2 linked regions of the Pelodiscus sinensis genome follow. The protein of the gene in region 1 purifies or fractionates together with the protein of each later gene. This does not show direct contact. Links are inferred from orthologs where the notes say so. Each region holds a gene or a part of one and is shown on either strand. Other genes may lie near its edges. The genes, in order: TMPRSS6 and HJV.

What was found.
Region 2: the proteins of TMPRSS6 (region 1) and HJV purify together in Homo sapiens (co-immunoprecipitation; 3 studies listed by IntAct). This does not show direct contact. The link is inferred for Pelodiscus sinensis from reciprocal best matches to the Homo sapiens genes TMPRSS6 and HJV.

What each region holds. Positions count from the first base shown.
Region 1 is NC_134711.1:92,947,829-92,955,760, forward strand, and holds the start of TMPRSS6 (transmembrane protease serine 6), read left to right. Parts: upstream 1-4,695; 5' UTR 4,696-4,720; intron 4,721-4,725; exon of another isoform or gene 4,726-5,004; intron 5,005-6,228; coding exon 6,229-6,385; intron 6,386-6,534; coding exon 6,535-6,677; intron 6,678-6,873; coding exon 6,874-6,941; intron 6,942-7,932. UniProt on the Homo sapiens protein: Membrane-bound serine protease. Through the cleavage of cell surface hemojuvelin (HJV), a regulator of the expression of the iron absorption-regulating hormone hepicidin/HAMP, plays a role in iron homeostasis.
Region 2 is NC_134734.1:20,001,853-20,009,279, reverse strand, and holds the start of HJV (hemojuvelin), read left to right. Parts: upstream 1-4,162; 5' UTR 4,163-4,225; intron 4,226-7,167; 5' UTR 7,168-7,217; coding exon 7,218-7,243; intron 7,244-7,265; exon of another isoform or gene 7,266-7,415; coding exon of another isoform or gene 7,416-7,423; intron 7,424-7,427. UniProt on the Homo sapiens protein: Acts as a bone morphogenetic protein (BMP) coreceptor. Through enhancement of BMP signaling regulates hepcidin (HAMP) expression and regulates iron homeostasis.

The sequences.
Region 1 (7,932 bases):
GGAAGTAAAACAGTTCAACAGTTACTGTGACCCTGGTTCCCCTGGCAACCACATTCCAAAAGGGCCTCACTTTGATAAGGCTGGTACCAAACAACCAAACAACCACACTGGATCGTTTTTACGGTTTGCTTTATTCCTAGGAAATAACCTTGGTTCCAAAGGAGCTAGCTGGCTTTTAGCTCAGAGAATAGAGACTCGTATGTCCATCAGCGAAAGACTGCTCTAGAAAGACCTTTACCAAGTTTTGCTAACCACCAACACCTCTGTGAAGTGCCAAGAACTGACTGTTGGCCAATGCTTCTCACTGCAAAAAGATCCCTCCATCTCGAAATGATCCTACCCCGATTGCTGATAAGCCTCTCTCTTCTGGTCCTGCTTTCCTACCTGCTGGACACCAGAACCACCAAAATATTACAGGGGGTGTGTCTAGACTACATGCCTCCTTCGACGGAGGCATGTAGATTAGCCAGATCGGAAGAGGGAAATGAAGCCGCGATTAAAATAATCGCGGCTTCATTTAAATTTAAATGGCTGCCCCGATCTGCCGATCAGCTGTTTGTCGGCAGATCGGGGCAGTCTGGACGCGATGCGCCGACAAAGAAGCCTTTCTTCATCGGCACAGGTAAGCCTCGTGAAACCAGGTTTACCTGTGCCGATGAAGAAAGGCTTCTTTGTCGGCGCATCGCGTCCAGACTGCCCCGATCTGCCGACAAACAGCTGATCGGCAGAGCGGGGCAGCCATTTAAATTTAAATGAAGCCGCGATTATTTTAATCGCGGCTTCATTTCCCTCTTCCGATCTGGCTAATCTACATGCCTCCGTCGAAGGAGGCATGTAGTCTAGACACACCCAGGGTGATGTGCTGGTAACCCCTCCCCTGCATGATGCTGAACCACGACTGTTTCAAGAAAAAAAAGAGGAAAAGTCTGCTCCTCTGACACCGCCAAAGGCCAAAGATTTCTGACTACAAAAGGACATTAAGAACTGACCTTGGTGAAAGAAGCGAAGTATTGTATATTGCCAAGGAGAAACTTGTAGGAGTGGTTTGGGTTTCTCCCTTTGATCTGGACTCTGTGCTTATGGACAGGTACCATCAGCATGTACCTGCCCTCCCTAATTTGGTTACTAATTATGATATGTTGTATGATGTTACTAAAATTATAGAACAGCCCCATCATAGAATTATATTGGGGATATTAATGATTATATTGCTTTTGCTTATTAAAAGTTTCATATTTGATTGTTGTTGTAAAAGATGTAGTAATAGAAATAGCTTTAATGTTTGTACTAATTATGTAATGTTTAATGAAAATAAAGGTTTAGAAAGGTAGTTGTGCTGTAAGCACAAAAGGGGGGATTGTGGAGGCAGGAAAAGGGAATAAGGGAATTTGTGTGCAGCCATCTTGGTCTTGTTAACAAGAGAGCAAGAGTCAGGCTAAGTCTGTGGCCTAACAACGCGAGATCTGTAATTAGACGCTGCCTTCGCCTCTCGCCTCCATACGGAGATAAGGATAGAATGCTGACTCTGGTAGGGACCTTGAGATAAGGAGCATCTGGGTGGAACTAAATAACTGTTAGCCATTAGTGTTTGTAATGGGAAGGAGACTAATTACTATTGTTATTATATTTAATAGACAGTATATAAACTGCTTCATAATTGCTTGTATTCGAAGATCTGCCTCGGTGAGGGGGGGGACTGCCCCCCTGTCCGAACCAGTTTTTCCCTTGCTGCAGCTCGTAATAAAACTGCCTCTGGCTACTTGTTGCTTACAAACTCAGAGTGAGGACAATGTTTTCTTCCACAATAGTTAAAGACACTGGGGGTCAAGTCATGTGAGAGACACTGACAAAGCTTTGCGTAGTTATTACCAGTGCTAATGGTTTGGATAGTGCTAGCCCCTGCCACCTACATAAATCTGTAAGGAACATTTTAATCTCCCCGGACATTCAGTATTGGGTTTAAAAGTAGCATCCTTCTACAAAAACACTTCAAAACTAAATTATATTACAAAGGGAAACAGCTGAGCTGCAATTCATTTGCAAATTCAATACAATCCAGTTAGGCCTGAATAAAGATCTCAATTGGTTAACACATTACAAAGGCCACTTCCCCACTCTTGATATTCACATCTCCCTATCAGTGAAAGAGACACCTCCACCCTGATTTGATTAGCCTCCTTATCACTTGATAAGTAATTCCTTTCTTTTGTGGTACTTTCAACAAAATTACCTCCTCTGTCATCATTTCCACTCCAATTCATCTGATGAAATAGCCTTTTACTCATGAAAGTGTATGCCCTAATAAATATGTTAGTCTCCAAGGGTACATCTGCACTGTGGGCTAGAGTTAAGATATGCAACATCAGCTATGTTAATTGTGTAGCTGAAGTCAAAATATCTTAACTCAGCTTTTGCTGTTGTCTACACAGCAGGAGGTTGGAGGAAGAATACTCTTCCTTCGACTTCCTTTACTCCTTGTGAAATGAGGGTTACAAAAGTCGGAGTAAGAAGCCCGTTATTTTGAAATTATTTTGAAATAAAGGGCTTGCGGTGTAGATGTGCACTCTGTTATTTTGAAATAATGTGAGTTATTTCTAAATAAGCATGAGGTGTAGACATAGCCTTGAGTGCCACAGGACTCCTGGTTGTTTTTGCAGCTACAGACTAACACGGCTGCCTCTCTGAGACTTTGTTTTTTGTCTCTCCTTTGTCCAGCCCACTGCCCCAGCAAGAGACTCCTCTCCCTCACCACCTCAGAACAAAAAACAGGACTATGTAGCACTTTAAAGACTAACAAGATGTTTTATTAGGTGATGAGCTTTCGTGGGCCAGACCCACCTTCCTCAGATCAAATAGTGGAAGAAAATTGGCACAACCATATATACCAAAGGATACAATAAAAAAATGAACACATATGAAAAGGACACATCAAATTTCAGAACAGAAGGAGGAGGGGGAGGGAGGTAAATAGCCAAGCCCTTCGATACAACTGCATCTGCTCTAATCCCACTGACAGACCAGAAACTTCAGGATCTCTACCCAAGCATTTATAAACCTAAACTACCCATCCGGAGTAATAAAAAACAAATCGAAAGACCCAGACGAATACCTAGAAACCATCTACTTCAAGACAGACCCAAGAAAACCAACAATAGAACACCACTTGTCATCACCTACAGCCCCCAACTTAAACCTGTCCAACACATTATCAATAAACTACAACCTATACTGGAACAGGATACTATACTCCGAGAGGCTCTGGGAGACAGACCCATAGTCTCCTAGGGTATGTCTACACTACCGAACTAGCTAGTCCGTGCCGCGTCTAGCCGCGCGGCACGGGGTTCAAACTAGCCGGCATTTAAAAATGGCGCCGGCCGGCTTCATGCAAATGAAGCCCGGGAAATTCAAATCCCGGGCTTCATTTGCAACTGCGGATGACTACATTACCTACATTAGTTTGAACTAGCGGGGTAGTGTAGACATACCCCTATAGACAGCCACCTAAGCTCAAAATGATTCTTACCAACAACCACAGGACATACCACACTAATACCAACCCTGGAACCTTCCCTTGCAACAAACCCCGTTGCCAGCTTTGTCCACACATTCACTCTGCTGATACCATTATTGGACCTAACCAAGTGAGTTATAAGATCAAGAACACATATTCCTGCTCATCCAGAAATATAATTTATGCTATCATGTGTCAAAAGTGTCCGTCTGCTATGTACATTGGACAAACGTCTCAGACACTTCGCCAAAGGATCAATGCCCACAAAACAGATATTAGACAGGATCACAAAGAAAAAACAGTTTCTTGCCATTTCAACCAGAAAGGGATTGTCTCAACGATTTGATTACCTGCATCCTGCTTCAAAGACCTTTTAACACCAGACTTGAAAGAGAATCCTCTGAACTGTCATTCATGCTTAAATTCGACACTTTACACCTCGGTCTAAACAAAGACATTAATTATCTTACCCTTTACAAAGATAGCTTCCCCAATTATCACCGCTAATATCATTAGCTCACAGACATTTACCTCCCCTCCCCATCATCCTTCTGTTCTGAAATGTGATTTGTCCTTTTCATATGTGTTCATTTTTTTTAATTGTATCCTTTGGTATATATGGTTGTGACTATTTTCTTTCACTATTTGATCTGAGGAAGTGGGTCTGGCCCACGAAAGCTCCTCACCTAATAAACCATCTTGTTAGTCTTTAAAGTGCTACATCGTCCTGTATTTTGCTTCAGCTACACCAGACTAACACGGCTACATCTCTATCTCCTCAGAACAGCCGGTGCCATTTTGCCTTTATTGCCACTGGGACCAATGGAGGTAACTAAGACAGAAAGCAGTTGCTGTGCAACTTGTTGCCTCCCAGGGGAATCTGTGATCCAGCTGCACTTGCCTTCCACGTTAGGCTTCCCAAGGGGCAGGAGGATTGTTACCCTGGGCTGTTTACAGCATCATCTCTTCACTGCCTTTAGATCCAGTCTGTTAGCAAACCTCCCTTCACTCAGAGTCAGCCTCCATTAGAGAAAGCTGTGGCTCTCCGGGGCATGCTCAGCCCTCTGTAGGGCCGGACAGGGCAAAGACCAAAACAAAGGGACATGGCCTCAGCTTATTGATTGCCAGAGAGGCCTTGGGCTTGAGTAAACACGTCTCTACCAATGTGTGCGTGCCCAGCCACATGCACAGCTGCAGGTTTCAAAGGTAGGTCTGTAGCTCTGGGGAAACCCCAGTGCCTAGAATTGATCTGCTAGCAAATTGAGGCTCTTTTTGATCAGTTTGTGGTTCTTGGTGCGGCTGTTGTTTTGGAGGACTCCTTTGAAGGTGGAGTAAAGGCCCTCACTCCTTCCTCCTGCCCCCCTCCTGGGTGGGGGATACCCACTGGAAAACATTAGCCAAAAGGAGACCACAGCGAAGCAGAAGAGCAAGGGTTGGTGTATTCGGATCTCTGCCGCATGTGAGAGGCCTGTAGGAGACAGGAAGTGGAGGTGTTCATGGATTCATTGTTGTCTCTGTGCCAGCTCTTGTTAAGTTAAATGTTTTCCATTGAATTGCTTTTTCTTCTTAAACACTCTTTACATGTGTCTGTATTGAGGGGCAAAGTTGTGGATTGGGAGGGGTTGGTATCGGAGTGAGTAGGGAATGCTGGCTGCCCTTTGTTGTTCACACACATGCTTCAGCCCCCTAGGGACCTCCTCTAACATGCACCCCTCATCCCTGCACCATAGCACAGACCGGCACAGGCCCATGCGATGCACATAACTCACTAACCAATGCATGCGCAGACAGAGCACCCTGGATATACGCTTTGGAACACGCTCATACACACTCAGGCGCTCTCTAACCCCCCTGCACACTCCCACACATTCACATTCATGCATGCTCATACCTCACTCATCAGTGAAGGAAATATGCAAATCCTTTGGCCTCTGCTAGAATGTTGAAAGGTTATGGGTGATAGGATTTTAACAGGGCCTAATAAGGGGCTGCAGAGGGAAAGCGGCCCAGGAGCATCCAGTCTTGGCAGGCTGTGGTACTTAGCAGAGAATCATAGAAAGGGAGTAGGCAGGAATAAGTCGGACAATCAGGTGTTGTGAGAGGAGCAGTAAAGATGGCCATGTGGCAGGTAGAGAACTGAATTACCTTGCGGGGTGCTAATATACGCCAGAGGGAAGTAGGGTGAGGTAGGGTAGACACAAGATACCTTACAGACCACCTGGTGTTGGCCACTGTCAGCAGACAGGCTACTGGGCTAGATGGACCTTTGGTCTGACCCAGTACGGCCATTCTTATGTTCTTATGTACAGTGGGGTATGCAGCATTTGACAGCTGTTACCCTGCATATTCTTGGAGCTCAGTGGTCTGCATTGCTGATTGCATTCAGTGACCTTTGGGGAGGAAACATGGGCATGCTGGGGAACACACTGAAAAGTTAGGATGTACAGACAGTAGAGGCAGAGAGCTAACAGGAGGGTGGTTAGGGCATGATCCTAAAGGTTTCACTCTGCTTCTGCCTAAGTAAATAACTGAATAAACTCCCATGGGATTTCAACAGAGTTTTGTGTGTGAAAGCAATAGCAAGGTCCTTGGGATCTGGCATGGATAATAAGGAGAGGTACAGATAAGAAGATATGGATGGCAAAGGGTACACAGGAAGGGAGTGAGGGATGTACTGAGAATCCAGCCTGATGCCTGGTCTGCTGCTGGACTAGATGCCCATGATGGAGGCTGAGGAGCAACAGGAAGATGCAAACACCCCATCTGAGGATGAAACCAAGAGGAAGGCTCGTGACTGCCTGCGCTATGCACCCCTCTGGATGGTCCTTGTTTTGTTGGCTGGAGCTGGAGCACTGAGTTGGTATTTCCTAGGTAACAATTATAAGGCGTTTTGTTCTTTATGCTAATGCTGACCTGGCCTAGTAACGAGGAAGCCAATGTAGATGCTAGCTAAGTTCCTTCCCCCAAAGAGCCCTCTGTTCTCCACGCCCGTGGTTAATCTGTCTGTCTTTTGTTGTCAGACTACAGACCACGGCACTTGGAATCAACTGTTCTGCAGTTCTACTCAGGCAGCCTCCGGATCCTCAATTATCAGTACTCCCTGGATCTTGGACGGCCAGAATCCAGAGCCTTCTGGACTGAGTCAGCAAAGCTACAGAAGATGGTGAGGATGGTTTCTTATGTGGGGTCAGGACTGAGGCAGTTCTGTGCGTGGGGGAATGGGTCCTGGGTGCTTCTGCAAATGGAATCTGAGGTGGATTATACTTCAAGCAGAGAGGGATGGAGCACTGGGCGGGTCCCAAGGGAAGTCTGCTGTTGTATTGTTGCTGGGTAGTTATCAGATAGCATTCTTGTTACAGCTAAGAGAACTCATTCGTGTCACGGACTTGGATCCATATTACAATTCCAGCACAGTTTATGCCTTTGGGTAAGTGTTATGTCCACATTAATTTGCTTTTCAGGACTCTGTCTTCCCTCTCCTATGTGAAAGTTACACCTAGGTTGTGATCTTGCTCAGCAGCCAGCTGTCTTGCTGACAAGAGCTGCTGCAACCTCCATTCTTACTCCAAGGGGGCTTTGGATGAGAGCTGATCAAAAATGGAATTTCCATCCCACAGGAAATCCTGAGAATTCAACATTTATTTTCAGCCCAAACTGAAATATGGAAAAGTCCAGAAAAAAATGAAATAGGTATTATTAAAGGGTTTACTTTTGGACATGTTCTACTGAAACAATGTTCTAGCATTCTTGAATTGAAATGTTTTGTCTTGTACTATCCACATAAAATGAAACAGCACAGAGACAGACCATGGTACACCCTGGGAAATGTAGTCCTGCAAGGGACAAGGCCCATAAAGGAGAACGGAAGTAGAAAGGATCTGGAACTACAACTGCCACAGAGCTCCAAAGTGGCTCAGGCAGATGCAGAGATTAAGGTCAACCTCCTCCCAGTATTCTATTTTTATTTTCCCCAATGGTAAATTACATCAGCACTGATCTTTGCTCACAGAAAATTTCTTTTTCAACAAGCCCCCTATTTCCAGCAAGAAGTTGCTCTCCAGGTTGGTCCATTTTCTCTGTCCTTCAGCTGACAAATTATGGTGGCTGTGATTGCCTGTCATACATAAGTGGTCTCTACACAGAAGCTCCCTCTGATCAACTGAACAGAGTCTAGCATTAATCACTTTTCATTACTGGAAGTTGGAACATGGAGCCTTAAAGACAGAGATAAAAGCAAGCAGGCGCGCCCTGGTGAGCAGCTCCGGCAAGAGCTGGCTGAGCTGCAGCAAAAGCCAGCAGAGAGCTATTTAAAGAGCTGGCAGGGATGCAGGTTGCAATAGGACCGTACCTGTAAGAAATTTTAAGTTACTTTCACTGCTGCTGAAAGGTCAACATTTTCAATCTGGGTCAGCAGTGAC
Region 2 (7,427 bases), on another chromosome or scaffold:
GTGCACCACCAACAGATACAAAAAAACCTAGCTGTGGGCACTCTGTTAATCAGTTGAGCAGCATTTGAATCTCTCCTGAGCACATGCATAAGGGGTCACTGTTGTATTGCCCATTAATGACCAGTCTTGCTCTGGTTCATTAAGGGACTCTCACAGGCAATATGCAAAATGTGTAAAACCTCCATGCAAAACTTAACATGGCTCAGCATCTGCAAAACTTCCTGGCTTACCCCGGGAAGGTCCACTCACCACTTAGTTAATATGACAGTAGCCTCTAGAGCAGTGTTTCCCAAACGGTGCTCCGTAGAACCCCAGGGTTCCGCGAAGTGAAAGTAACGGTTCCGCAAGAACCTGATCACCTCCCCCCCTTAAAGAGACAGAGGCGTCAGCATCTTCTCTGATTTCCCACTGGCACCTTCCCTCCCCCGCTGCCACTCTGCGTTTCCAAAGCCCACTCAGGACATGCAGGATGGCATTTTGCGCCCCCCCCCCCCCTCAGTGGCAGGTATTTTTTATTTGCTCGACACATTTTCCTGGTGGTGATTGATTTTTATTTTATTTTTTTATTTTTTGCTTGACAAATTTTCCCTGGCTGTAGGGGTTCCTCGAAATTCTTCTGAGTTTAAAAGGGTTCCGTGGTCAAATAAAATTGAGAAACACTGCCCTAGAGGCTGCTGCCTGAAATCACGACCCCATCTTGCCAGGTGCTGAGCACACATGCCAAAGGAGAAAGCCCCTGTTCGGAAGAATTTGTGGCCTAAGGCCAAGACAGACAAAGGGTGGGATAGAAGGGAAGGGTTTTCCCATCCTCACAGAGCTAGGAATAGACCCCAGTTCTACTTGGTTCTTGTTGAGTGTTCTATCCACTGGGTAACACTGCCTCTTTCTGGTTAGCACTGGGCGGAAATGGGATTGTAAGAGAAATCCTGCTAGCTTGAAATTTCTTCCCTTCTGAAACAGTCTGAAAACACTGATTTAAAACAAAAAAATGTCCTGGAAAAAACAAATTCCAAAATAGTGGCAAGTCAGGAACATTCAAATGTTCCCTGCCGATTGTCAACCTTTGAAAAGCCTGTTTCACGTATATACGAAAAGTCTCATTCGTTCCGTTTGAAATGGAAACATCAAAATATTCCCTTCTGAAAACATCGAAGTCAGAAATGTTGACAGTATCAAAACGCCTTGTTTCATTTTTTTTGAAAGGGGGATTTCAATCTTCCCCCCCCCCCCCCTACATGGGATTTGGTATAAATCCATAGAAAGTTGTGGGGATCTCAGTGAAAATGGAAACTTGTCATCCATTTTTTGAGGGGGGAAAAAAAAGTCAATCAGCTCTACTAGTAGCTTCCAAACTTACCAATCCAAAATAAGTGTCTTTCACCAACCTTCCCATATACTAGTCAGTCCCTCAACATACACCCTGGGGCCTAGTAGACAGACACTGGACTGGAATGCAACAGACCTGGATTCTCTTCCACAGGCCTCTTGGGTGACCTTTGGCAAGTCACTTTGCTGCTCCGTGCCTCAGTTTCCCCACCAGTAAGATGGGAGTAGTGATATTGACCCTGTTTTGTAAAAAGCTTTGAGCCCCATGGCTGAAAAGTCATTTAGAAGAGCTGTTGTTGTTGCATTGTGTTGTACTCCAAAGGCCAACACAGCTGGAGCAAGGTGGGGAGGCTGAGGAATCTCCATGAATCGAGGTTTTGCACAACCGGTTGAACAAATCTAGCGATGATCTAGGTTTACTTGGAGGCTGGACTTAATGACTTCTCACTAGCCCTGCCAGCCCTACGTTTCTGTGATGGAGTAAGTGCGCCCCGGCTCCTTTGGCTCTTCGCTGGGGAGGTGCGGCAGGTTCGTGGCATTGCCCGGGGTGGGAGGAATGAGGATTGTTAACACTCGCCACGGACAGCTCGTGTGCTCACGTGGAAATTTGCACCCGTGGAAATTTGCAGACGTGGCCTGCTCAACCGCTCAGTGTCACTGAGGGATGTAAAATCCTGCTTCATCAGTGAACTTACGTTAAACGTTATGTGTAACGAGTTACCTGCTTAAACAGGGATGAGAAGGGGGGGACCTGGCCAGAGTGGCCCCCCCCATGGGCAGGGGTTGCTCTGGACGGGCTATAGTACCCCTGCCCATGGTGCACTGCTCCGACCGGGCCGGGCCTGGGAAGGGTGATGCCGACCGTTTAACCATTCACATCCTGAGTGTGCAGATCTGGACAGTGCCGAGCTCACTGCCTGTCTCCCACCGGGAGCGAGTGACTATTTCTGGGGCTCCTCTCCGCACCATGTGCCTGTGCCTCTTGGCTGGGTCATCGTCGGGCTAAATTTAGTCCCATCTATTTCAACGCCTGTCCCCTGCGCTGCGTGCCTTCAACAGGAGGGGGACGTTGCTGCGTGACAGTGGTAACGAGGGGGTGGGGAGGCCCCCAGATTTCTGGCCCCAGGCATGGAGTCCCTGGGTGCAGCCTGGCTCCTCTTGCTGCCGGAGACGGAGCCTTCTCCTGGCACGTACCCTCCAAGGAGCAGGTGTAGGGGCCTGGGAACGAGCGCCGCAGCCCCAGGTGGATGGCACAGGCTGCCTGGCTGGAATCTCCCTGCTGCTGCCCTGCTTCAAGGTTTGCTGGTAAGAACGCCGGGCTGGTCGTCGAAAAGCAGGTGCCAGCAACCCGCCCGCAGGGCGCCTCTGTGGCTGTCCCCCCTCAGCCCTTTGCTGAGGAAGCCCCGGGGGCTGGGTAAACCCCCTCCGCTGGCGGGAAGCGGACCCGGAGATTGTGGGACTTGTCCGCAGGAAGCTGCCAGCGCCCGAGTGAGGAGGGGATATCCCTGGGGCTTTCTCCAAAGGGTGGAGAGCGGGAAGGGCCGTGAGGTCTGTTGGTCTCCCGGAGCCTGTGCGCTGACCATGGGCGGTGGGTGAAGGTAGCCCCCGGCCCCTTCTGCCCAGGCCTTGCCCTCGTGGGAGCCAAACCACCAGATTGTGGGGAGGGCGGGTGGCCTGAGCCTCCCCAGCCCGGGAGCACAGGGAGGGCGGGCGCTGAGGGGCAGCAACCCTCCGCCCCCAGTGTGCCTGCAGTAGACGGTCTGGGGGCAGAGTCTGGGCGGGGCCAGACTGGCGGTTTGGGAAGGCAACGCCTCCCCCTGCCTATGAGACCCGCTTCCCCTCAGGGATGTCAGCCTGGCCGGGGGAGGCCGGGATGGGGTCTGCTGGGTGGGCAGGCCTGGCAGGCCGAGGGGAGGAAAGGGCGTGTGCAGCGAATGGTGATGCACAGGCCGCGGATGGGGAGGGAGCGTGTGGGAACACCTGTGCCCCGGCGGGAAAGGCAGGGGCACGTGCTGAGTTGGGGACAGTCGCAGAGGTGCCGTGGCTGTGGGCGGGGAGAGGCGGGGATCTGTGGCCAGTGCGGGGGTGAGGCAGTGGATGGAGGCGGGTCGGTGCGAAGGGGATGGGGAGGGCCCGCGTTGCGGAGGAGGTGCGAGGGGAACGCAGGCGCACGGGCATGGTTAGAGCTCTAGGGATGTAAAATCCTGGTTAGTCCATTAACCGGTTAAGCAGGATCCTGGGGGGGGGGGGGGGGAAGCTTCTTGTCCTGGCCCCCCATGGTTGGAGCTGCTCTTGATGGTCTCCCCACGCTTATGGCTTCCAGCTGCCACCCCTGCACGTGGGGGGCCAGAAGCAGGAGCCGGCAGCCCCAGCTCTGGGAGTGGGGGGGGGGGCGGCTTCTGCTCCCAGCCCCCCTGGAGCAGCCCTCCACCCACAGTGGGTCCTGGACAAGGGGGGCTGCTCCCAGGTACCGGTTAACCAGTAGCCAGTAGGTGTCACCCATTAAGGGTGATTCTCCCTGGGCAACCCGTTAACCGGTTACCCGTTCGCAGCCCTGCCCTGCACCCGACGATCTTCTGGCCTTCGGCTCTAGGACTCCTACGCTCTCCGCCCGGCCAGGCGGGACGACGGCAAAACCCGGGCCCCATCACGGGGCCGTTTGGCTCCTTTTTGGTGGCGAGCGATGGGTTGATCATTAGCTCCTGCCGCGAGCTCAGATGCTCCCGTGTTGTTTACCGGCTTAGTCAAACACCCCAAAGTTCAAGCGCGGTTGCAACAGGCAGAGCTGGAGAAAGCGCCTGCAAGAGGCGGGCGGCTTCTGGGGCACGTGGCGCGAGGGAGTCAGAGGAGAACAAGCCGGCGGCTCGTTCAGACCCAGCACTTGCCCTGAGGGACAGAGGTACAAAGGGAGTCTCTTGCGGCACAGGGCCGGCGGGGGGGGTGGGGGGGGCGGAAGAGGGGCTGTGTCTCAGCCGCAGTCCAAGGGCCTCCTGACTGAACCGAGTCTGATTTTTGTAGGGGCGCTAGGTGAGCCCCTCCCCCCATCTTGCAAACCTGGGCGACAGGGCCGTCTTTACCCATACGCAGCTGCGTAGGGCACCTGAAAATTTGAGGCACCGCTGGGTCTTAATGTCCACCCTCTCGCTTCTTCCTGTCCCTGTGGTTCTGCTTCCTCCGGAGAGGATCCAGTTCGCTGGAAAGTAACAAAGCCAGGTAGAGCTACTCGCAGAGCCTGGGAAAGAGCCAGTCAGCATCAACGACACCGTTTCCCACGCATCTGCCAACCCCAGGTCTAGCCTGTCCGTTGCCGAACTGACTATGCGGGTCGACAGGCCCCGAGTTAAGAATTTGCTTTAAACCTCTTTCCTTGGCGTGTGGCTGAAGATGATCAAATCCCAACTGTTGTGGCTGCTGTTGGGCCTCGGGGCACCAGCTTCGCAGTCCGGCGTAGGCCCCATGCACCCTACGGCCGGGGAAGTGACGGTCTTGTAGGCAAGTCAACCCAGTGATTGCTCAGAGATCACCAGGCCTGGGGGCGGGTCAGGGATCTTCCCCCTCCCATTTCCACAGCTAAGCGGAGGCATGATCCTTCCACCCGATCAGCGCTGGGCGAGCCAGGCTAGCGAGTGGGCCACCCGTGCGGCCTCCATCACAGGGGCTGCAGGATTGTCGCCACCAACACGGTCTCCCAGGCCAGGGCGGTTTTGCTCCCTGCGCGTGCAGAGTTTGCAGGGGGCGCCGATGGAACCGTCGCCACACTGTGATTGGTTACAGAGGGAGCACACAGTCGGTGCTGGGCGCGATCCGCCCGCCTCTCCCTGCACGTGCCCTGGCTTTGCGTGTGTGTCCCCTTAGTAACGGCGGTAGGAAAAAGCTACGCGGGCAGAAACCCGTGGAATCTGGCAGCCCTGCGCGTTAGCTACAGTAAACGAAACGTCTTACAGGCCAGACCTAGAACCCCGATGGGCTGCCTGTGGCCTGCAGGCTGCCCAGTGCAGCACAAGATTCTGCTAGAAGGCTTTCCTTAGAGCTGTGACAGGTACTGGCTGGAGCAAGTAAAGAAAAGTTATTTATTAGTTCCCAGAATAGAAGAACTAGAGGACACCAAATGAAATTAATGGGTAGCAGGTTTTAAACTAATAAAAGAAAGTTCTTCTTCACACAGCGCATAGTCAACCTGTGGAACTCCTTGCCTGAGGAGGCTGTGAAGGCTAGGACTATAACAGAGTTTATAGAGAAGCCAGATAATTTCATGGAGGTTAGGTCCATACAAGGCTATTAGCCAGGGGATAGAAATGGTGCCCCGGCCTCTGTTTGTCAGAGGCCGGAGAGGGATGGCAGGAGACAAATCGCTTGATCATTGTCTTCGGTCAATCCTCTCTGGGGCATCTGGTGCTGGCCACTGTCGGCAGACAGGCTACTGGGCTAGATGGACCTTTGGTCTGACCCAGTACGGCCGTTCTTATGTTTGTACTGGAAGGCACTTGACTGCCGCCTCTCCCACCTGCTACCTTCCTGCTCGGGATCCAAGTCCGTCGGCAGCATGGTCGTCAGGACAGGCAGGGAAGGTGTCCCTACCTCTGTTTGCCAGAAGCTTTGTAACAGGTGACAGGGGAGGGATCATTCGATGATTCCCTGTTTTGTTCATTCCCCCGGGGCGCCTGGCATTGGCCACTGTCGGCAGACAGGAGGCTGGGCTAAATCAGGGCCAGCCCACAACATTTTGGCATGTGAGGCGGGGAGCTCAAATGACGCCCCCATGCCCCTTCACTTGGGCCAAAACTTTGAAAGGTCTCACTTCTGCCTTCTTCCTGTTCTTCTGCTCTCACGGGACTGCTCTGCTACGTACCCCAACAAAGGAGAACTAACAGCAGCGGGCACAATTTTCTACACTCTGGGTCCTATGGCGTTCCCCCCCCAGTCTGGCACCTGAGGCAGCTGCCTCAGTTCCCCTCATGGCAAGGCCAGCTCTGGGCTAGATGGACCTTTGGTCTGGCCCAGCCTGGTGGCTCTTATGATCAGCGTAGGTAGATTTCACCACATGGTTTCTGGAGGAAACTGCTGCTGTGCTTGCATGCGGCGCGTGGTCTGTGGCCCTCCAGGAGCAAATTGGGAGCGGCTAGCAAGCCATGCCAGGACTCAGGAGAGCCGGAGTCTGTATTCCTGACTCCGCAAGTGGCTGGTTGCTTTCTCTTTCTCTGCCAGAGTACATCTAAAGCATGTGGCTCTGTCGACGGAGCCATGTAGATTTGTTTGTTCGGCAAAGGGAAATGAAGCCGCAATTTAAATAATCGCGGCTTCATTTAAATTTAAATGGCTGCTGCGCTGAGCCAACAAACAGCTGATCGTCGGCTCAGCGCGCTAGTCTGGACACTTCCCTGCCGACATGAAAGCCCTTTATCGACCTCCCCAGTAAACCTCATCCTATGAGGCATAACGGGGAGGTCGATGAAGGGCTTTCAGGTCGGCGTGGGAGCATCCAGACTAGTGCGCTGAGCTGACAAACAGCTGATCAGCAGTTTGTCGGCTCAGCGTGGCAGCCATTTAAATTTAAATGAAGCCGTGATTATTTAAATCGCGGCTTCATTTCCCTTTGCCGATCAGCCTAATCTACATGGCTCCGTCAACGGAGCCATGTAGTTTAGATGTACCCTGGCCGAGAAAGAGAAAGCAACCAGCCACTTGCGGATTTAAATGAAGCCACGATTATTTAAATCGCGGCTTCATTTCCCTTTGCCGATCAGCCTAATCTACATGGCTCCATCGATGGAGCCATGTAGTTTAGACACACCCCCAGTGTCCCACCATTTGTAAAGCAGATAACCCTGCCTATCTCTGTAGAAAGCGCTTGGGGGATCGCTGGATGTCAGCCACCGTCTACACTCAAAGTGATGAGGACTTCCACAGACAGCTCCAGGTACCCCATAACAACCAGAAATGGACAAGAATCAATCCACAGGTGTCCCAGACTGGAGACCGACCCCTTCTCCGGGAATAGCCTGAGACTCCACATTTGAAGCACATCTCTTGGCTCTGGCCTTCTCAGATACAACCACCGCTACAAGGCTGGATTTACCCAGTTAAAAGCCATGCCAGAGTAA